Macaca mulatta: one gene and its partners. The protein of the gene in region 2 purifies or fractionates together with the protein of the main gene of each other region. This does not show direct contact. Links are inferred from orthologs where the notes say so. Each region holds a gene or a part of one and is shown on either strand. Other genes may lie near its edges.

The links.
Region 1: the proteins of RIPK4 (region 2) and FBXW11 purify together in Homo sapiens (affinity purification with mass spectrometry; 4 studies listed by BioGRID, with this or other methods). This does not show direct contact. The link is inferred for Macaca mulatta from reciprocal best matches to the Homo sapiens genes RIPK4 and FBXW11.
Region 3: the proteins of RIPK4 (region 2) and BTRC purify together in Homo sapiens (affinity purification with mass spectrometry; 4 studies listed by BioGRID, with this or other methods). This does not show direct contact. The link is inferred for Macaca mulatta from reciprocal best matches to the Homo sapiens genes RIPK4 and BTRC.

The regions. Positions count from the first base shown.
Region 1 is NC_133411.1:180,713,550-180,721,022, reverse strand, and holds part of FBXW11 (F-box/WD repeat-containing protein 11), read left to right. Parts: intron 1-1,042; coding exon 1,043-1,153; intron 1,154-2,362; coding exon 2,363-2,441; intron 2,442-3,689; coding exon 3,690-3,851; 3' UTR 3,852-3,876; intron 3,877-7,473.
Region 2 is NC_133408.1:5,746,479-5,753,951, reverse strand, and holds part of RIPK4 (receptor-interacting serine/threonine-protein kinase 4), read right to left. Parts: intron 6,846-7,473; coding exon 6,687-6,845; intron 5,939-6,686; coding exon 5,835-5,938; intron 4,222-5,834; coding exon 3,957-4,221; intron 2,064-3,956; coding exon 904-2,063; 3' UTR 1-903.
Region 3 is NC_133414.1:113,423,802-113,431,877, reverse strand, and holds the start of BTRC (F-box/WD repeat-containing protein 1A), read right to left. Parts: upstream 4,556-8,076; 5' UTR 4,469-4,555; coding exon 4,034-4,468; intron 1-4,033. UniProt on the Homo sapiens protein: Substrate recognition component of a SCF (SKP1-CUL1-F-box protein) E3 ubiquitin-protein ligase complex which mediates the ubiquitination and subsequent proteasomal degradation of target proteins. Recognizes and binds to phosphorylated target proteins.

The DNA of each region.
Region 1 (7,473 bases), on a different chromosome or scaffold from region 2:
GTTGAGGTTTTACAAGATAGTAATGTGTATTACTCTGCAGCTTATAGAAGAGAACCACTTTGGAGTCATAGAGGCAGTACTGAATGACTTTGATCACAGATTAGAGATGCTGTCATCACGGGTACTAAGATTTGCTAAGGGCAGCTGTAATAAAATGATCTTTGGATGTATCATAGGAATTACTGGTAGAGAGGCTAAGAAAAAGTTATGATAGAATTAATTTGCTCACTTTATTTTGTACATGCTAACTAGCTATGATTTTTTTTTCTGCAAATACGGTAGAAAATCAGTCATAATAGGAAAAAAGATCTCTAACTCCAGAATGGAGTTATATGCAGAGAAAAAGATTTGGTGTAGTCAATGGGTTTATATTTCCGCCAGAACACTGCGTGTACCTAATCAGTCTCCCACTCTGACCTTGTACATCAATTCCAGTATTCAGCATATAGTATCAAGGAAGGGGTATCCACAGGCCTCATCAAGAGAGAGCTGCTGGTCCACCAGTTCTAACCTCAGTGGTCCTCATGGACTCCACTGTGCTAGAATTACCTTGGGCGGAAGCTTTACCCGATGGCTGTATGTGATATCTCCCTTCCCACCTTGTCTCATCTGTGCTTTTTCTCCTTTACTGCCTACAATCCCTGTCTCCCCAGAAAAGTCTTTCCTACACCATTTGTCTACATGGTTTTTATCAACTCAGACATCAAGAGAATGCCTAAGAACTAAATAGAATTGACGTTTCTTGTTTGTTGATTTTATTTAAATAGTAATACAGACACATGATTAAAAACAGTTTCAAATCATATAAAAGGAAATAGAATAAAAAGTAAGGCTTCCTCCTAGGTTAGTGCTTGGAAACACACAGATGGTATAAATGTATACATATAGCTTTATATGTGTGGTGTGTACTGGAAGTGAGATAGAAATAAAGAGTTCCAAGATAGTGAAAAATTATATCTGTATGGAACAGATATAAAAAACTTACAGATAGTGTGAATCATGTGTGGGAAATTGTTTCACAGAGGTCTGTTTTTCATTCAAGGCTCTGGGATATTGAATGTGGTGCCTGTTTAAGAGTCCTAGAGGGACATGAAGAATTGGTCCGATGCATCCGGTTTGATAACAAGAGGATTGTCAGTGGGGCCTATGATGGGTATGTCTTTCAGATTTTCAGATGTACTGCTATAACTATATCAACAAGAAAAAGAAATGTTGTATATTAAGCAACTCTGTATGTACCAGGTCCTATGGTAGGTTTCTGTGTAGTGGTGGATGGCAGGTATTATTATACCAGTTGTTTAGGTGAGGACACTCAGGCCCAGAAAGAACTAAATCTTGCCCCAAATGACAGAGGCAGAGTCACTGTGGTTCCTAAACTTATGCTTTGAGTCATTGTTGTAAACTCCAGCAATAGCTGAGGTTGTGAGTGTACTCACTTCTTTGCTTTACCCCTAAATTAAGCCAGGCGCTCTCTCTCTGTCTCTCTGTCTCTGTGTGTGTGTATGTGTGTTCTTTTTCTCTCTGTGTGTGTGTATGTGTGTTCTTTTTCTCTCTGTGTGTGTGTGTATGTGTGTTCTTTTTCTCTCTGTGTGTGTGTATGTGTGTTCTTTTTCTCTCTGTGTGTGTGTATGTGTGTTCTTTTTCTCTCTGTGTGTGTGTGTATGTGTGTTCTTTTTCTCTCTGTGTGTGTGTATGTGTGTTCTTTTTCTCTCTGTGTGTGTGTATGTGTGTTCTTTTTCTCTCTGTGTGTGTGTATGTGTGTTCTTTTTCTCTGTGTGTGTGTGTGTTCATGTGTTCAATAATAAGTTTCTTCTTTTCCCCTTTTGGTAAATTGAACAAACCCTCTTTAAAACACCTCACTATATTTTAAATGGGCAAATGGCAACTGTAAATCTTTCCAGATGACCTTATATATACTTCCCAAATGGGTTGGTTGGTCTGTCTGTACTCCTATTACTAACTTCCAGCATTTGCTTAATTTGGAGAAAGGTATCCTTGGAATTTCACACAGAGCCCTAGCTTCTGTCAGCAGCACCTCCTCAGCCCTAGAGAGTCCCCTGATGAATGAACTTGGTGACACAGGTTATCAGGTCCGGAACTGAATTTAGATAACCTGAAGTTGTTTTCTTATCTCCCTTAAAATAATATTTCTTTAAAATTTCAGCAATTCTGAGAATGTGTTGGTTCTTAATTTTTCTGAAGTCAAGTGTAATTGGTTCAGATGATTTGTAAAAACATAAGCATGTTCCCCATTAGCTTTTATAAATAGGCAGTTCAGATGCACTACTTTTTGTCAAGGAAATGTTTGACAGCATATAAATTGTTCATTTTTCCACTAATCACATCTCATTTCCCTTTCTAGGAAAATTAAAGTTTGGGACTTGCAAGCTGCTCTTGACCCTCGAGCCCCAGCGAGCACATTGTGTTTGCGCACATTGGTGGTACGTGACCTCTTAAGACAGGAATTGGTTCCCTGTGCTGGAGGATGACCATTTGCAGATAGCCCTGTCTAGGTGTATCACAGGAGCGCTTGTGTATCTCACAAGATGCCTTCAGAGAATTTCACTGTTCATTTTGTTTAGCCAAAATCAGAGAATATTTGATGCTTACATTACTGTGAGCACTTTTCTAAGGGGAGACATAATGCAACTTCAGATATGAAGGCAGGCATCCTGATTTGTAGGTGGACTGGTTTCCTCATAGGGCAAGCAATATTTCCTTCTTGCAGGTTTGAAGATTTCTTAATATGGCTACTTGTGGTTATGTTATGTTTTAATAACAGCACATTTTTATACTATATATAAATTTTTATGCTATATGTAAGTACTGTTGTATTTTTGAAGAGAGAGTCATTTGGGAATATCGGTAGATTTAAAAAAATTTTTAGTAGCTTTATCTTTTATTTCTATTTCTTCACTTCTTGCATTTAGTAGAAGATGCAGAACTCTCTTTCTTCTTGATTTTAATGGGAACCCTTATAATGTTTCACCATGAATTTTGATGCTGGCAGCAGTTTGAGGTAGATCCTGGTCATGTTAAACAAACTGTCCTTCTGATTCTAGGTTTTTCCAGTGGATTTTTAGAGTGCATCAAGAATGGGTATTATGTATTGTTGTTTACTTTTCTAAGGCCCTTTGTGAGATGATCTTTGAAATATTGGTAGAGTCTAAGATACAGAGTTGAATGAAAGAAAAGGCCTAGCAGGGGGTGCCGGGCGCAGTGACTCATGCCTGTAATCCCAGCACTTTGGGAGGCCGAGGCGGGTGGATCTCAAGGTCAGGAGATCAAGACCATCCTGGCTAACACAGTGAAACCCCATCTCTACTAGAAATACAAAAAATTAGCCAGGTGTGGTGGCGGGCGCCTGTAGTCCCAACTACTCGGGAGGCCAAGGCAGGAGAATGACGTGAACCCCGGAGGCGGAGCTTGCAGTGAGCGGAGATCACGCCACTGCACTCCAGCCTGGGTGACTGAGCGAGACTCTGACTCAAAAAAAACAAAAAAGGCCTAGCAGGAAAAGAAAGAAAAGCATTTGTTCTTGGGATGAAGGACACAGTTCAGTGAGCTCTGTACAGTCGTGTAAGAAGTCTGTTTAAGTGGCTTCATTTTCATCTGCCAAATTTCTCATTGTGAGATATCAGGGACTGTAAAGATGTCATTTTATTCATGAAGTTTTTAATATTTCATAGGAACATTCTGGACGTGTGTTTCGGCTACAGTTTGATGAGTTTCAGATCATCAGCAGCTCCCATGATGACACTATTTTGATTTGGGATTTCTTAAATGTGCCTCCCAGTGCCCAGAATGAGACCCGTTCTCCCTCCAGAACATACACTTACATCTCTAGATAACAGTCTGCACTTTCACCCGTTTCAGGTGAGTACTGTCCCTTCCCCTTCCAATTTTGCTGATTGAATTCACCTTCCCTTTGGGGGAATTTTGTGATTTGGGTTCCTTGGTGATGGGAACTAAGGTCTCTTAGATGTGTCAGCTTTTGCAGAGTTCAAGTATCAGGCTAGATCTCTATAGTCACATCCATACAAGGTTTCAGTTGGAATCCTGCCTATTGTGTGGGTTTTCATTATTGGCAGATGATAAACATGGTTCCTGTTTTTAAAAACTGTGTTCCTAAATGATTTTTAAGGTCATAATCAATTTAACACCAGTAAAATCCCTTGAATTTTATTTTGGGGTACAAGAAACTTCTTTTTCTCTTTCTTTCCTGTCCTTCAGTTCTTTTATTAAAAAAAAAAAATCATCATCTGACAAAACATTCAAAATCCGCCTCTTCCCCACTACCACAATCCACCCACTACCGTCATTCCCTCAAGGGTGGATCAGAGAAGAGCATCTGTTGAGAGACCCCTAAAACCTATTCTGCTTCCACGAAACACAGCAGATATGCTGAGAAGCAGAGTCCTTCACTCTGGCTACAGGAACATTGAAAGTCATTGTAACCATTGATGACAGAATGCTTTGATTATTACTAAGAGTGTTCAATCTGGAAGATGAGAAGTCTTACTTGGCTGTGTCCTAGGAACTGATGACTTAGGAACAGTATTGACAACTCTGTGTGTTCTGCTGAGGGCCAGTGAATTCTACACACATTAAACTTTGTAGATTGAATAAATGTTTACACATAATCATACTACTATGGATATATGTCTATAAAGACTGTTGTGATTTTAATGAAATTTGTGTTTATTTAAAATCATTACTTAATTCTTAGTGGCTTTTTATCATTACATATTTTCCTGTTCATTGAATTTCAAAAGTATAAGGAAGTCCATGTGCAGAATTAGGAATTTTTTTTGATGGAGAGATTGAGAACTCTTGGTACTATTCACTAAGTTACCATCTTTTCAGATACTCTTTCATCAGGATTCCAAGATCCAATAAATAGAACTCCACCAGGAAGTTGGTCTTACCTAGAGGTCAAGAAACTATATATATAGCCAGGGACCAAAATCGACTCACTACCTGTTTTTTGTTTGTTTTGTTTTGTTTTGTTTTTAATTAGTCTCTGCTTATCCTTTTTTTTTTTTCCTGTCTCCACAGGCTAAGAATAGTTTTTACATTTTTAAATGCTTAAAAAAATTAAAAGAAGAATATTTTTTTCATGACATGCAATAATTAGATGAAATTTAAATTCCATTGTTTATAAATAAAGATTTTTGATACACAGCCATGCTCATTCCTTTATGTGTTGTCTGTGGCTGTTTTTGTGCTTCAGTGGCAGAGCTTAGTAGTTGCAACAGAGACCTTATGGCCTACAACGTCTGAAATATTTACCATATGGCCCTTTCAGAAAAAGGACCTTTTTTTTTTTTTTTTTTTTTTGCTGACTTCTGGTCTTGCCCTGCTCCATCTATTAGCAGTAAACCAAGGGTCTACATCAGGAATGGCAAATAATTTGTGTTTTCTTCATGCCCACTGAGTTTGGTCAGTAGTGGCTGGTGGGAGTGTTGCCTTTGGAAGGATTCTGGGACCCCATGAACCCCAAAGGACTGGTTGTGGTTGGTTATGTCTGCCTTGCAGGAGTGACCTGTAAGCCACTTACCTATTTGCTGTTACGGGTCTCGGGTGTGTTCAGACTGTTCCTGATCATAATCTTCTGCCCTGCTGCTTTCTTTCTGGATAGATTCTTCATAAGTCAGTTGAAAAATCCACATGGCAGAATTATTATAATTATTGAATGGAGCCTTAAAATAGGAATTCCAGAGGAAGGAGGCAAGGATCTCTTGAGTGATTGCTCCTCCCCCCGACCTCCCCTCCCAATAAGCCTAAGAAAATGTAGGGAAGGAGGAATGGACCCAAGTAAAAACGGCTTAAGGAGGCATATGGCAAAATTCAAGACATCCGTATCACGGTTTTCTTTTTCTGGTGTATTACAGTAGATGAACTGACAACATCTATATGTTACCTGCAAGTGCCCTGAGCAAGATTCCTTTGGTTGAGAGATGAAGCAGTGATCACCAATGCTGTTTCTTACTGGCTGTGGTAGAAAGGAAACTTGTGTTACTTCCTCCAGGCCCTCCTCCTACCCACCTTTTATGGAAACCTCAGAATAGCTGCCTAGTTGTGATCAATTATAAGTCAATGGAAAAATCTTATCTGCTTAAGCTGGTGGTTCCCTGTATCCCAGCACAAGCAGTGAGACCCCAAATGTGCTTGTCTCTCCAATTTTATTACTTTTAACAACCTTGGCAGTCAACTTTATAGATTTTACTGCTCTTTTCTAAATTCTTTTTTTTTTTTTCCTTTTGAGACAATGTCTTGCTCTGTCACCCAGGCTGGAGTGCAATGGTGCAATTTTGGCTCACTGCAACCTCTGCCTCCCAGGCTCAGGTGATCCTCTTGCTTCAGCCTTGTGAGTAGCTGGGGCTACAGGCATGTGTCATCACACTCAGCTAATTTTTTTATTTTTATTGGAGACGAGGTTTCACCATGTTGGCCAGGCTGGTCTCGAACTCCTCGCCTCAAGTGATCTGCCTGCCTCGAACTCCTGAAATGCTGGGAATACAGGAGTGAGCCACCGCGCCCAGCCCCAAATTCTTTTCATTTATTATAACATGAAAAAAATTATAACCATGTGTTATGTGTAATAAGAAACACTACCCTAATGGTGATTTAACCTTGCAGTAAAATATTCACCCGTAAAATATCAGGTGAGAGTCTCTCCATGTCAGCAAATGCAGTAATAGATTTATTTACAGAGTCATTGTTAAAAAAGTAACATGTAAGAGCTGTATGTTGTATTATATATTCAGTAGCTCAAAATTTATTTTTTTTTCTTATTACAAGACAATATAAGATCATTATTAGGAAATTTGAAAAAGTAGATACGCCAAAAGAAGAAAGTAAACTCCTGCTCATGGTTTACCACTAACTCCTTTTTATAGATCCTTTCAGGCTTTTTAAAGTGATGCTTGATAACTAACTGGACATTTTTAAACATGTTTTTCTTCTTTATTGTGAAATGCTTGTGTTAGTAATGTCAGTATTTGTCCAAATTATTCCAATTGCCAAATTATATTAGATTGTTTGGATATGCTCTCTCGTTACATATTTATCCTCCCCAACCCCCAGTTTTTAGTGATTATAAAAACAATGCTATGATTATTCTTTTAACCTAATCTTTGTCCAACCCTTTGTCAGCTTTGGATGGGATTCTGGAAATGTGTGGAGAGTCTGGGTTAAAAGGTATCATGTTTGAAGACTTTTTTTTTTTTAAATTATACTTTAAGTTCTAGGGTACATGTGCATATGTAGGTCATTTTGCTTTCCAAAAGATTCAGTCAGTTTATGCTCCCCTCAGCAGCATTTGAGAGTGCTCACTTCTGGTCCCAGGGCATTAATGTTTTTGAAATAATTCAGGTTCCCTTAAATATCCTTAATGGGAAAAAAGTAGCAAATGAAATTGAATCTTGAATTCATTGAGAAGACTTAAGATTCTTGATCTTTATGAAAATT
Region 2 (7,473 bases):
AAAAAACACAGTTTCTCCTGCACCTCTTCCCCCAAGACTGGTGCACTCCAGCGACCTGAGGGGGCTCGCCTCAGTCCCCAGGACTGAGGTTACAAACGGAGAATTTTTTTAATGACTCTTATGCCTGTGGCTCTAGAGTTCCCAAAACACCTTAGACAATGAGAAATGAACAGCAGCTAGTACCATGTGAGCACGTGTGTGTGGTTGTCCACAAGGACTCACCAAAGTAACAGACTGGAATGGTTAAGAGCTGGCCACACACACGTCCCGCAATGCTGGCTGCTACCATTTACTCCTTGTTGCATAAAACTTGTTTTCAAAGCCAACCCCACTACTTAGTCATCATTTACAGACTAGACTATCCAATGTTATGAACATTTTTAACAGGTTTCAAGCAGCAGCTGATAAGGCATTCATCTCTTAAGATATTTTATAAAACAATTCCATGGAAACTTTAAGACAGGCCTCTCTGCCCACTGCTGTGTATGAAGATAAAAAACACAGTTTCTCCTGCACCTCTTCCCTCAAGACTGGTGAGCTCCAGCGGCCCAAGATGGCTCGCCTCAGGAGAGAGTGGATGCTTCCTCGCCTGGGGCTTCATCACTGAGAGACCAGCCTCAGCAGCCCATTAGGAGCACAACGAAATGACTCTGACCCACGGTCCTTTCAGACAGCAGGTGCCTAGATCGGTGATGGAGCGGGCACATGCACCTAAGCCAGCTTCGCCTGGAGGGGACACTCCGGTCAGCAGCAGCCACCTCCCGATGGCACCATGTCACCTCCGCTTGGTCAATGTTTAGGCAAGCCACAACAGGGCCCCACGCAGGATCGTTCCATCCCCATGAGGAAGACAGGACAGGACCAAGAGCCCCACATGGACCCCTGGTCTCCACAGGCAGCCAGTTAGGTCTTGCTTCGCTGCAGGAGGGTGGCGGTGGGGCCATGGCCGCCCTGGAACTTGAGGCTCTGCAGGTTGATGTGGGCCCCATGCCTGAGCAGAGTCTCCACTGTCTGCGCATGCCGGCCCTGGGCGGCCAGGTGCAATGCGCTGAGCCCCTGCTCATCAAACAGGTCAATGACGTCGGTGCTGACCAACTCCTCCACCACCTCCGAGTGCCCGTGGGCAGCGGCCAGGTGCAGCGCCGTCTGGTTCAGGGGTCCCCGGGCCAGCACATCGGCCTTCTCCTCGATGAGCAGCTTGACAGTGGCCAGGTGTCCGTTGCGGGCAGCCAGGTGCAGAGCAGTGTAGCCGTCGGAGGTCACGGCCTCCTTGCCGGCGCCCCGATGCAGAAGCAGCCTGGCAGTGCTCGTGTGCCCCGTCTCTGCGGCCACGTGCAGGGGTGTCTGTGCCAGCAGGCTGCAGACATTGACGTCGGAGCACAGGTCGATGAGGATGCGGGCCACGCGGTAGTGCCCGCGCTGTGCAGCCAGGTGCAGGGGCGTCCTCCCATCCAGTGTCTGGGCGTTCACACTCACCCCCGGCTGCTTGGCCAGCAGCTTGACGATGGGGAGGTGGCCCTGCCAGGCGGCATAGTGCAGCGGCAGCCAGGCATCCTTGCCCTGCAGGCTCACGTCCACGCCTCGGCGCAGCAGGATGCGCACGATATTCTCCTGGCCATGCTGGCAGGCCACGTGCATGGGCGTCCGGCCCTCAAAGTCCACCTCGTTGACCGAGGCATTCTTCTCCAGCAGCAGCCGCGTGCTAGACTCGTCCCCGTTCTGGGCTGCAAAGTGGAGGGCCGTCCACTGGTCCTCATCCTTGGCGTTGACACTGATCTTCCGTGCCAGCAGGAGCTCCACGACGCCCCGCACCTTCCTCTCCACGGCCATGTGCAGCGGGGTGGAGCCCCTCCGGTTAGTCAGGTTGGGGTTGGCATTGTTGAGCAGCAGCCACTTGACACACTCCTCTTGCCCGGCCTCCACCGCCAGGTGCAGCAGGCTGGCGCCACCGTCCAGCGCCAGGTCCACGTCCTGTGGCTGCAGGATCTTCATCAGCTTGCTGGTGTCCCCAGACACGATGGCATCCATGAGCTTCTTCTTCTGGACGTCTGTGGTGCCCAGATCTGCAGGGAGAGGAGAGGCAAGCGTCAGAGCGCGGCTGCACATCCAGGGACGCAGCGTCTCTGGGAGCCTGGCTGTGGCGCTCAGGTGGAGGAGTGCCAAGGCCTCCAGGCTGTTCACTGGACACCTGACCATGTTTGAGCATTATCTGTGCCTCCTGATTAAGGTCAGTCCTAGTGGGAGCCCCGGGGCAGGCCGGCGAATGTCTTTCAGGTGCTCGTTAGTTGGTCTGCAGAATAAAACCCACTCTCGCTGTCCTGCGGGGTGCTGAACCCCCTTGGTGCCTAGAGATGGCAGTGACTGCAAACATTCCTTCATTAAAGAAAGAAGGAAAAAGGGCACAGACTAAAAGACCAGGCCGGAGACCCCTTCGCCTGGAAGCCTTGGCACTTGCCATCCACGGACACCCCAGGCCTAGCAGCCTGCAGAGCTGGTGCCCAGAGCTGGAAGGGGCTGCTGCAGCTCCTGCCCCACCTCGAAGTGGCACCTCCTGACCTGGGGAGGTCAAGAGGGAAGTTTGCTATGATAATCCTGAAGGGACCGAGCCTCTTGTTTCAGGAAGACGTTAGTCCAGCACTCAAGATGAAAAGTTGCATTTACCACAAAAATCCTACTGTAGTGCCTGGAATTCTGAGTCCCTGAAATAAGACTCTCCTCCACCCTCATGTGAAACACATGGGGACTTGGAAGGTGGCGGTGTTAAGGTGTTAAGAAAACGGAACCCTCCCAGTCGGGCTTGGTGTTTGAACACTGGTATTCCGAGTAGAGCCAGTAAAATAATCCTCTCTCGAGCATGAAGACGATATGCCATTTCAGAGTATTAGACCCAAAGAGAATTTTCTAGAACGTACTTCTCCATGGGAGATGGTAGTATTTCTTTCTGCCCAGTCTTAGACTTGGCCCTGACTCTCTTCCTCAACCCCATCACCTACTGCTTATCTGCCGTCACACCAGGTCTTCCCCACTGTGTCTATGTAGCATTTCCTTAACCCAAGACACCCTCTTTTGCCCCCAGTATTCTAATCTAAAAATCCCAGGAGGTCTGTAAGATCCAGGAAAAGTCTTTGCCTCCAAGAGGATGTACCAATCCACCAGGAAAAGCCAGGATGGATTGGTACATCCTTCCCCCCAAGATCACAGCCTTGGCCCTCAGCCCCCGTGGCTGTAGCCCTGAGTGTAAATCCCTGTATTTTCCATCAGAGCTGCAGCCCCTTCAGGAATAGGGCAGGACCACATCTTACCACTGCAGCTGGCAAAGAGGAAGCCAGAATGACCACTAGGCCCAGCACCCTGGGGCAGGGATAGGAAAAAAAGCACCTTCCAAAAACAAAAGCCATCAAAATTAACATAAAAAGATAAGATTCGCTAAGTGAGAAGTGCTCCTCCCTAACAGGAGATTTGCAAAGGTGGCCTGGTGTTAAAACCTCCAAGGATAACCAACACATTACAAGGCCTGGACTACCGTGAATGGGGAGCCCACATATGCGAAGGCATGGGTGTGTACCCAGCAGGATCTGAGCAGAGGGTGTGGGACTGCCATCCTGGAGACAGGAGGCCCGCCAGGGAGTGGGGCTCAGCTCCTCGCCGGTCTCACCGCACTGGATGGGGTTTCCAATCTGTAGACCAGAGGTCAGCCTCTACCCATGGCACTGGCACAGGCAAGACTGTTGCATGGACTGGTGATGTGGCCTGTTCCCCACGTATGCTAAGCGACACAGGATGGAGCCAAATGCCCAACACCCAAAATTAATTACTTCAGACAGAGAGAACACAAAGAAGAATTATTGTTGGGTCGAGAAACTTCCCCTTGATTCCGTTTAGCTGCTCACTGAGTCCAGTCAACTTTCCCGCCGAGCCCAGCATCTCCCGGGACACAAAGAGGCGTCCCCACTTACCGCTGGTCGAAGGCTCCCTCTCAAAGGACAGCGACAGTGATCCTCTGGAAGAGAAGGCGGAGTCCACCGAGGACACCCCCGAGAGCCTCTTCCCACTGCCGGACGATGGCAGCTTGGACTCAGAGGAGCTGCGGCTGAGCTCCTCCGGGCCCTCGACAGCCTGGGAAACTCCAGAGTCCAGCTGTGAGAGCAGCTCGGAGAGGCTGTAGTCGTTATCGAAGGTGGGGGCGGAGGCCCGCTTGAGCCTGGCAGACACAGGCACCACCTGCGAAGATGCAGAAGAAGGGGTGGGTGAAGACCCTGCCATACCCCGCATGGCCCGCCCATGACACAAACACGGAAGAGCAAGGTGGGCCATGGGAGGGAGGTGGGGGAAGAAAGGACGGAACCTGGAAGCAACACAGATAACCTATTGGTCCCCCAGCTCAGACCCCGCCTCCGCACAGCATTAGGGAGCTCAGACGCCGAGTCTGCACAGCACCCGGGTGCTCAGACACCACGTCGGTCCGCACAGCACCAGGGAGCTCGGACTCCACAGCCGCACAGGTGGAGCTCAGACGACGCAGCCGCACAGCGCCAGGGAGCTCAAAGACTTGGAGCTACAAAGACTTGCGCTGGCTCCACCCAGCCCAGAAACATTTTAAGGAAAGATCGACTTCATAAAAGTGCAAAATCCAGCCTCATGCAGCTCTGGATGCCATCTGCTCAGTAGCACCGCGCACAGCGTCACCCAGACAAAAGGCAGGTAATGTCAAGCTGCAGAGTGTGGTGAAGCATGCGTGGCAGGACACAGCTGCCCAGCACAGGCCAGCATTGGCAGGAAACAAGAGGACAGACAAGAACTGGGCAGGACCCCCACAGGTGGCTACAACTGCGACCTCCCCGCGGAACCACGTGGGGCTGGCCTGGGGGCTGTGTGGGGACAAGGGAAGGGGGAAGGGCCCGGCTACAAGGATGAGGGATAATCCAGTCCGACGCACACCAATGACACCTTTTAAAGGGTCTCGCTTCACGGACTGCAGGGGCAGCAGGTTTCTGGTGGGTAAGTGGAATCTGACAGGATTTCACATTTCTTCCCTTAGGCACACCTATTTGCCCCAAATCCCCACCCTCTGTGGGACGGCTCAATGTCCCGCACTCTTGCTGGGTGCACCAAGCCACCCCCACATGTTGGTTGCCTTCTTTCCCTTATCAGGGCCCAGGTCTGCCTCTTCACCAGCAACCCCCAGGCACCTTTGCTCCCAGACTCACTGGCACGCATGCACTTTATGTTGAGACAGTGGGCACGCCATACATGTTTCCGGCTCTCCTGAGCTCACACCGACAGGCTGGGATCAATTGCCCAACACCAGATAACACGTTATAAAGCTCACTTAGCTCTGCCTCACAGGTCTGCTCCAGTCTCATCACCTGAAAGGGTATTTAGCCAGCCCTGGCACTTGGAACTTCTTATCACATCTGAAATCACCTAGGTGGCACTCATCAGAGTACAGACCATTTATGAGCAGCTATAAAGGGACTGGATCCCCGAACCAGAGGTGCAAAAACACCCAGACACCAGCTCTCCCTCCCCGTCTGGGGCTGGGCCTTCTGATCCCCGTGGTTCCACGCACATCCAATGAGTGGCTATTTAGTGTCAGGGAAGCCCTTACATTACTCATGCAGAATCACAGACAGGAGGTGGGGCGGGGATGCAATCGGGCAGGTGGACCTGAGCCCCCGTGGGACCTACACTTCTAACGGAGTTGGGTGCGGGATGGGCTCAGAAGAGAGGGAGAGTGGTCCCGGCGCGGAGGAGTCTGCAGAGAGGAGGAGTGGTTTGGAAACCCTGCCTGGAAGCCGAGGAGACAAAAGACCCCTGTGGGAAGGGCCCATTACCTCGCTCCTGGGCTCTGGGGGGCTTTTCACGTCCAGGTCGTGAGTGGTTTCTTTCACTTCATCATCAGGCTTTTCACACAGGTCCTCGGTTTCAGAAGTAATTTCTTGTGGGGAAGAAAGGGGACATGTCACTCGGATGATAACTTCTACGTACACAAGCCTTCCATTTAAACACGGGCGGGGCCTCCACAAGCTGGGGGATTTCTCACATGCCTCGGCCCAGGCTGAGCTCGCCAGGCAAGCCCAGGGGCCCTACATGGGCGATTTGCTGGCCAAACCCAGGCCCCCCGTTGGTAATCATTTGCAGGCCTCACCAGACTCAAAGCAGAAGCCTTCCCCGGGAAAGCCCCACCTGCCAGTTGCAGGGAGCAGAGCTGCCAGCACCTGGCGGAGGAGCTCCCCATTCATCCCGTTTCCTGCCGTAAGCTTTACATGCAGCAGTTTCCATCTCATCAGGGTCACTTTCCTATGCCAGAGACACATCTGTCCCAGGAAGTCAACTCCCCAAGGGCAACACCTCCAGCCACCAGCCAGGTGAGTCCCCGGGAAGAGCATGGCTGCACCTGAACTTCAGACTCCCATACAGACTCCTCTGGGCAGCAAGCCCAGCCCTGGCGGGGAGCAGGGGATGGATGGTTGGAGGCGACTCAGTTCCAGCTGCTGTGGCCGAGCCTTGAGTACCAGAGGCCACAGGCAGGTGCTGGGGCCAACCTATCTGTGCAGGGCTCATTTTGGCCCACCTGTTACATGCCTCGTTTCTCACCCAGGCCTGGTCCCTGACCCTGTCCTGTCCGTCACCACTATCTCCTGTGACACCCACAGACCGTGCTGGGGAGACCCTGGGGAACTCACCTTGGAAGGTGGGCCGAACTCGCGGATCCCCCTGCCAGCACCGCTGCATGAGGCGTATCAGGTGGCTGCAGGCGCGCGGCCGGGCTCTGCACACGGGCGGCAGCTCAGGGCGGTGGCCCTTCACCACCTTCACCATGATGTGCAGGATGTTCTTCTCATCTGCCAAGGGAAGGATGCGAGTCAGGGGCTCTGCAGGGCTGGGTGGCAGCGTCTCACTCTTGGGAGGAAATGACACACTTGCCGGGGACCACGGTGGGACCATCCCCACACCATCCCAGGGAGACGGCTTCCCCTCCCGTTCCATAGCCAGAGATTCCTGTAACCCTCATCCTCACGGGGCACCGTGCTCTCTAGTTTACTAGTTTTGAAATCGACCTCTTTCCTTGGGTTCTGATCTACCAGATGGAGTCAGTGTGTTTGGTCACAGAGATCTTTCTCGGCATCCCACCCAAAGGAAGATGAGGTTCAAAGAAGAACAATATCTTATGAGGCTCATTCCATCAACAGCCCAAGCCAGCAAAGGGAATGAGGTTCACGCACCATGGAGGAGCCACAGCGTCCTGCATCCACAGAGACCCAACTCTCTCTACAATGGCGAAGAAGTCTTCCTCAGTTCCAACTCCAATCCCAAGCTCAGGTCCCCAGCTGGCCTCCCCTGCAGCTGCACCAGGGCTGGGGTGTGTGGGAAGGCTCTTTCCCTTCAATTCACCATGTGGGGCCGCACCTGTCCTTTCTGACTGCCTTCACTCGTATGCATGGGCTCTGGCATACTATTATTATTATTATG
Region 3 (8,076 bases), on a different chromosome or scaffold from region 2:
CCACTCTGAACATTTCAACCACGCCCACACCTCAGCCTATACCAAGTGAAGCAGAAAAACCATCAGACTTGAGGGGAAAAATAAATTGGTTTTTTTAACCTAAGTTTTGAGGTGGTTTATTAAACAGCAAACATTTACCCTTTATACTGTTTCACTTATCTATCACCTCTACAAATAAAACTTATATACATTCTAAAATTATTTCATCCATTTCAAGCTACTCTACTTGATTCTGGGATTGGCTGGACAAGAATATATTTATCCTGTTTTTAAAAATAAACATGGCTCAGCAAGGTGGCTCACGCCTGTAATCCCAAACTGGGAGGCCAAGGCAGGAGGATCCCTTGAGCCCAGGAGTTCAAAACCACCCCTGTCAACAAAGGGAAACCCTCATTCTCTACAAAAAGAAAAAAGAAAAAAAAAAAAAACAGTAAAGTGGCGTGTGCCTGTAGCCACTTGAGAGGCGAAGGCAGGAGGATCACGTGAGCCTGGGAGTTTGAGGCTGCAGCAAGCTGTGACTGCACTCTAGGCTGGGCAACATAGCAAAACCCTGTCTCAAAGGTGAAAACAAAAATAAAGTTCAAATTCCTCCTCAGCATGTCTTTTCACCCCCTATCTTAAATGCGCGTGCAGGTGTGTGTGTGTTTTGGGGCCTATATTCCCTTAATCATTTTCATTTCTCTTCTTAGGTTCTCTTCAAGTTTCCGTTTATACTTTTATTAACCAAAAAAGTATTAAGAAAGGTCCTTGAGGACCTGCTAAAGCTGAATGAGAGACATTAGCACATAAGTTAATGTAAACGGTTGCTTTCAACACCATTTACTTGTTTTTAAAAGTTAAACATTCTGCTTAAACTATTTAAGATGAGCTTTAAGTCTCGATCATGGGTGAATTATGGTCATCTCTGAATCAGCAGTCTTATTAATCGGATTTTATTGTAAAATTATTTATCAAGGCACATTAGTATAGCAATGAGCAAATCTGTGAGAGTATCCATTTCATTTTGTCATTTTAAACTAATTTTACATTTGTTTAAATCATGACATCTGTATCTGTATAAAAGTTGTCATTAGTGATTCATAATTGAGGGAAAGGTTAAGACCAGAACAAAGCCAAATAGTAACAAAAATGTCGGTTTGATTAAAAGGATAGTTCTTCCACGTGTACTGTGCACTAATTATTTGATGCTGGCTCAAATATCTTCTTTTTTTTTTTTGAGACAGAGTCTCACTCTGTTGCCCAAGCTGGAGTGCAATGGCACGATCTCAGCTCACTGCAACCTCTGCCTCCTGGGTTCAAGTGATTCTCCTGCCTCAGCCTCCCAAGTAGCTGGGACTACAGGTGCGCACTACCACGCCTAATTTTTGTATTTTTAGTAGAGATGGGGTTTCACCATCTTGCCCAGGATGGTCTCGATCTCCTGACCTCGTGTTCCACCCACCTCAGCCTCCCAAAGTGCAGGAATTACAAGCATGAGCCACCGTGCCCCGCCAATATATTTCTTTCTTAAAATTGACTCTGAATACATCAACACGTTATAGCAGGGTAAATGGCATCAAAAGGAAGTTGTGACTTACTCAGATTCATAAGACTTACTGCAGTGAAAGAGAATACCCAATTTCAAACTCTCCATTCTGTTTCTTTTATTAAGGTGTCATTCTAGTGACCCTATTCTAGTTGACCTTTTCTCAAACAGCAGCCAAAACAGCAGGCAAGGTCAATAATGAAAGTAACTAAAATTAAAAGAAAAAACTGGCTCCTCCCTATGGAAACTAATTCAAGATTTAGTAATGTGTGGTGCCCTAAAAGCTGCAACTACTACATGGTCATCTCCAAGTCCACTTTAACTCAACCAGGAGGCCATTATCAAAACATAACTCACTGGTACAAAGCACAGATTAAGTAGCTGAAAATGTTACTAGGCTGAAGTCTAACCGAGAGTAAAAAGGATGACCTCATGTCTCTTTATGATCTGTAAATCACATTATTCCATAAATCTGACACAAGCGTCAGGATCAGCATTGAGTCAACCCTCTGCTGGGCGCTGCGGCTCACATCTGAAATCCCAGCACTTTGGGAGGCCAAGGTGGGTGGATCACGAGGTCAGGAAATGAGACCATCCTGGCCAACATGGTGAAACCCCATCTCTACTAAAAATTAGACGGGCGTGGTGGCCTGCACCTGTAGTTCTAGCTACTCGGGAGGCTGAGGCAGGAGACTCGCTTGAACCCAGGAGGCGGAGGCTGCACCACTGCACTCCAGCCTGGGCAAGAGACTCCGTCTCAAAAGAAAAAAAAAAAAAAAAGGATTCAACCCTCTAGGAAAACAAAAATAAGCAGTAACAGTTTTCTGACTTAAGTCTAATAACTTTCACTTACTTCTAAAGTCCAGTAAAATTTCAAGGTCTCTTCTTCATATTTAGAATTTTAATGTTGGGCAGAAATCCAAGAACCTTCTTCAGGCTCAGTGAAATTTTTTTAACGATACCCTTGAACTTTAGGTGTTTTTGAAAACACTAATGCAAAATAAAGTTTTAGTGAATTTGATTAGTTTCCAAAAAACTATTCTTATAAATGGGGCAGTTTAAAGCCTAAAATTCAATTTCGTTAGTATCCACGTTTATCTGGATTTGTTATGGTATTTTAGGCAAAGATACAAAATAACTATTTTTTTAAGCAAAGGAGTAAGATTTGGAGTGACAAGTCACAATAACTTCTGAAAAGGCAAGACTTGACTGCAAATAATATCAATGTCCCTAAGGCCACCTGTTAAGCTTAAAGTCTATGCATTCCATCATTCTTTAGTCGTAACCACAAAGTCTGGTTTCACACCTAGGAAATACAAAAAGCATCAGATTAAAAGCATCAAATATCAGACTAGACAAGTTTGCCAAAGATAAGCATAGCAAAAAGAAAAGCGTGATACAAAGTTAAAGAAATATGTTCCAAGGGATTTAAACACACCCACAAAATCCAATCTTTGCTCACACTGTGCTTCAACCTAAAAGTGACAGGTAACCACAAATACTGACTTATTCCTGACTTACTTCCCTCTACCTACCTCCAACCTTTTTATCTCCTAAATTTCTCAACTGATCTCATCACTTCTTACGGGTCTTTGCAACTCTCATCTCCGCGGCCTTTCCTTTCCCAGAAAATGATACAAAGTACCTGGCCTCCACATTTTACGGTCCCACAATTTACCTTTAAATTTTGTTTTGCTGGCCGGGCGCGGTGGCTCAAGCCTGTAATCCCAGCAGTTTGGGAGGCCGAGGCGGGTGGATCACGAGGTCAGGAGATCGAGACTATCCTGGCTAACATGGTGAAACCCCGTCTCTACTAAAAATACAAAAAACTAGCCGGGCGTGGTGGCGGGCGCCTGTAGTCTCAGCTACTTGGGAGGCTGAGGCGGGAGAATGGCGTGAACCCGGGAGGCGGAGCTTGCAGTGAGCCGAGATCACGCCACTGCACTCCAGCCTGGGAGACACAGCGAGACTCCGTCTCAAAAAAAAAAAAAAAAAAAAAAAAAAAAATTTGTTTTGCTTACCCTATTAGATACTCATTTTGACCCAATCTCCTGTACCCATGTTTCCCTGACCAATCTGCCTCTTACTTTTCATCACCTTGTCCTTACTATAGTATTTAGCTTCTCCTTTCAAAGTAGCGTTCTGTACCTCTCTCCCTGACATTTGTAATTCTAGTTTACAGTCAACACCCTTTCCCCCTCCCAGGGACTGTCATTATAGCCCTAGGTACTCATTCCCAGTCTTTATCTTCCTTGAGGCCTCTTCCCTTCCAGAGTTTGTCAACAGTAGTTTGGCCAAGCTGGGATTCCACCCTCAAGGCAAAGGCTATCCTCCCTCCCTCATTCTACAAAACTATAAGCCTCTCACCAGCCCTAGTGTTCCCTCCTCCACCCTTAAATCCATCTGCATCCAGCCCTACCCGTTCCCCTCTACCTACCATATCTGTCTTCACTTTATCCCGCGCTCCCCTTCCCCAGTCCTGAATGCACCTCCTCTCCCGGGCCTTACCGGTAACCCTGACACTGGGAAGGCCCCGCCAGCGGCCTCACGGCGTTTCTCCACAGAGCTTCCTCCGCTCTTCAGTAACAGTCCCCACGCCCCTTTCCCTCCAGGGCCCCGCGCGCCGCTTGGAGCCCCCTCCTCGATTAAGCTCCCGCTGTCACTTGGCCTCTCATCCACAAGATGGCGGAGCTGCTGCCCCCACCCTGGGTCCGCTCCGCAACCCCTAGCCTCCTTTCTGGAGCTCCCATCCCATGCCTCCAGCTGCCCCGCCGCCAGCCTCGGCCCAGGGTCCCGCTGCCTGGTCCCGCAGTGGGCGGGCGGCACAGGCCCGAGCTCAACGACGCCGCCAACGCCAGCGCCTCCGCCGTTCCCCGGCCTCCACCGTCTCCTCACCATAAACTTGAGTGCTTTCTCTTGCAGCACCGCCTCGGCCGGGTCCATAATCGCGAAGGCCACTGGGTCCGCTCTCCGCCGGGGCCGCCCCTTTGGTGCCAGGCCGCAGCCAACGCAGCGCCCGGATCCCGCCTCCTCTTCCTTCCCCCCGCCCTCTCTTACCTCTCAGGCACAGGCTTAGGGGCCAAGGAGAATCGGCTTTCTCAGTACGCAGGCGAAAGCCCACTGGCTCACGGGATTTGTAGTTCTGGAGCTTCCCGCAGAAAAAAACTGACGCTACGCGGTGAACCGCAACTCCCACAGTTCACTGCGGCAGCGTTGCGGTTGCCCACAAGCCAGATTTAGATAACTTGTCATTAAGCATAGGAAATTGGCTGATGGGAATTGTAGTTTACAGCCTCTAAGGATTAAAAAACGGGAGGGGCACGGGTGTCTCCGTGGTTACCGAGCGACGCCAGTAGCGGCTTGCCTGACGTTTGATATCAAGATGGCGACCAATGCCTTACCTGTAGCCCAAATACTAAGAAAAACTATGGCAAGAATCAGGGGTCCTAGGGCCTGCCTAACTGTGGTTTTAGGGAGCTGAACATCCCCAAATTTCATATATCTGGCGTCTGCAGGTTTGCTACCCAGAGCAGCTGGGCCAATGGGCACCAGGCAGCAGCTCACAGACCAATGCAGAATTTCAAGGTCCTCCTAAGCTATCGCCACCCACACTTCTCCCAAGGAATCTTTTCTCCCCTACAGCAAGTCAGGGCCGAATAGAACCCGGCTCAAGAAATTCTTGGTGTTGAGAGCTCAAAAAGCGCATAGCTTGCTATTGCTAACTGTGGGATATAAGCCCTGCACTAAGGGTCAAACAGGTACTTACAAAAGTCCTTCAATGGTGGAATATAATGGCCTCCAGCAAATAAAGCATATAAATATTTTCTTTGGCCTGAAAAGGTACAATATGGGTTTATTTTGTAAATTGGGTCTACCTTAGGAGGAGAAAACTCTAGGGTTCGGTTAAAAGTGACTTAGGGCCAGGCAGGGTGACTGATACTTGTAATCCCAGCACTTTGGGAGGCCGAGGCGGGTAGATCACCTGAGGTCAGGAATTCGAGACGAGCCTGGCCAACATGGAGAAACCCCCTTCTCTACTAAAACTACAAAAATTAGCCGGGCCTGGTGGCACACGCCTGTAATCCAAGCTACTCGGCAGGCTGAGGTATGAGAATTGCTTGAACCCGGGAGGCGGAGGTTGCAGTGAGCCGAGATCACGCTACTGCACTCCAGCCTGGGCAACAGAGCCAGACTCTGTCTAAAAAAAAAAAAAAAAGTGCGTTAGATTGTGACAGCCTTGTACAAAATATCTGAATTTATAAAATAATTGAACTAGGAAAATACTTTTTCACTTATAGGAAAAATCTCCATTTTAAACCATCTTATTCATTCAGTCATCCAACAAATAGTAAGCATATAACCGTGTGCAGACATCATCTCAAGAAGTAGGGATTCATCACTACTTGGGTGGCCAAAATCTCAGACTTCACCCCTATACAATTAATCTGTGTAACCCAAAACCACTTGTACCCCAAAAACTATTGAAATAAAAATAAAATTAATTAGACAAAAAGAAAAAGAAAAGGGGATTCATTGATGAACAAGACAGACCCAGTTATTTCTTCGTGGAGCTTACTCTTCCACTCTGTTGATACTTTGTCCTAGCCCCTATGTCCACAAAACTCAGCATGATACTTAATACATAATAGGCTTTCAGTTAATAAAAAGTTTTGCTCTTGAATTAAAAAAAAAATTCTACACAAGTACAAAATGGAGAAGACTTCAAACGCATTCGTATGAAAACTAGCTGCCGGGCGCGGTGGCTCACGCCTGTAATCCCAGCACTTTGGGAGGCCGAGGCGGGCGGATCACAAGGTCAGGAGATCGAGACCACGGTGAAACCCCGTTTCTACTAAAAATACAAAAAATTAGCCGGGCGCGGTGGCGGGCGCCTGTAGTCCCAGCTACTCAGGAGGCTGAGGCAGGAGAATGGCGTGAACCCGGGAGGCGGAGCTTGCAGTGAGCCGAGACTGCGCCACTGCACTCCAGCCTGGGCAACAGAGCGAGACTCTGTCTCAAAAAAAAAAAAAAGAAAGAAAAATAGCTGGAAGTTTTCAGAGGACTAAGGCAGTAACATGATGGAGTTACAAAAAATAAATAAATAAATACATAAATAAATAAACAAACTAAAAGATGAGGTGGGATGATGGTGCAGCCACAGGAAAAGAGTATTCCAGGCAAAGGTAACTGCATTTTGGTGATTGATTCTGAGAACCAAAACAAGGTCAGTGGGACTTTAGAGGAAGAGTGACCCTAGATGAGACTGCAGTATGGGGCTCTATAGGTAAGCCATTATTTAGGTGGCATAAACTGGTCAGATGAATCAGCTGACATGCTTTCTAACTGGCATCAAGGCCTGTATCTTACCAGCTATAAAATACCTTGACTTTCACTCCAGCTTATAGGCCAAGTTAAGGCATTTGGACTGTATCCTGAGAGCTGTGAGAAACTAACTGAACAATTTTAAACATGGTCAGATTTGCGTTTTCAGAAAATCAGAGTCCAGGGTGGAGGAGAGATTAAAATGGAGCACAGCTGGAAGCTTGGGGAAAGGATTATGGCGTTGCTGAAATCTTCCTGGGAGAGATGATGGCAGCTTGAATGTGGTGGTGAGAACAGAAAGAAGTAGATGGATTCCAGAGATACTAAGGAGATAGAATCAGTTGAGTATAGTGATTAGATGTGTCATGGATGATGTCAAAAGGATGTGTCCAAGATGACTTCTATGTATCTGGCTCAGGTAATGAATGAAGGATTCCTTTTTTTTTTTTTTAAGACAGAAAGCAGAGTAGAAGGAGCAAGTGGTAGGAGGATAATCAGTTCTCTTTTTGGACTTATTGCTTCAAGGTGCCTGTGAGATTTCTAAGTGGATTCAGATGTTGGGGAGGCCATTGAATATTCGAAACTGAAGTTGGAGAGAAAGACCTGGGCTACAAATAGGGATTCCAGCATATGGGTGGTAAATGAAACCCCACTCCCGCTTCTTCCCCTGAAAAGAATGAAATCACGTAGGGAGCCGGGTGTGGTGACTCACGCTGGTAATCCCAGCACTTTGGGAGGCCAAGGTGGGTGGATCACCTGAGGTCAGGAGTTCGAGACCAGCCTAGCCAACATGGTGAAACCCCATCTCTACGAAAAACACAAAAATTAGCCGGGCGCAATGGTGCTTATTCAGGAGGCTGATGCAGGAGAATCGCTTGAACCTGGGAGGTGGAGGTTGCATTGAGCCGAGATCACACCACTACACTCTAGCCTGGGCCACAGAGCAAGACTCTGTCTGAAGGAAGGAAGGAAGGAAGGAAGGAAGGAAGGAAGGAAGGAAGAAAGAAAGAAAGAAAGAAAGAAAGAAAGAAAGAAAGAAAGAAAGAAAGAAAGAAAGAAAGAAAGAAAGAAAGAGAGAAAGAGAGAGAAAGAAGGGAAGGGGAGGGGAGGGGAGGGGAGGGAAGGGAAGGGAAGGGAAGGGAAGGGAAGGGAAGGGAAGGGAAGGGAAGGGAAGGGAAGGGAAGGGAAGGGAAGGGAAGGGAAGGGAAGGGATGGGATCACTCAGGGAA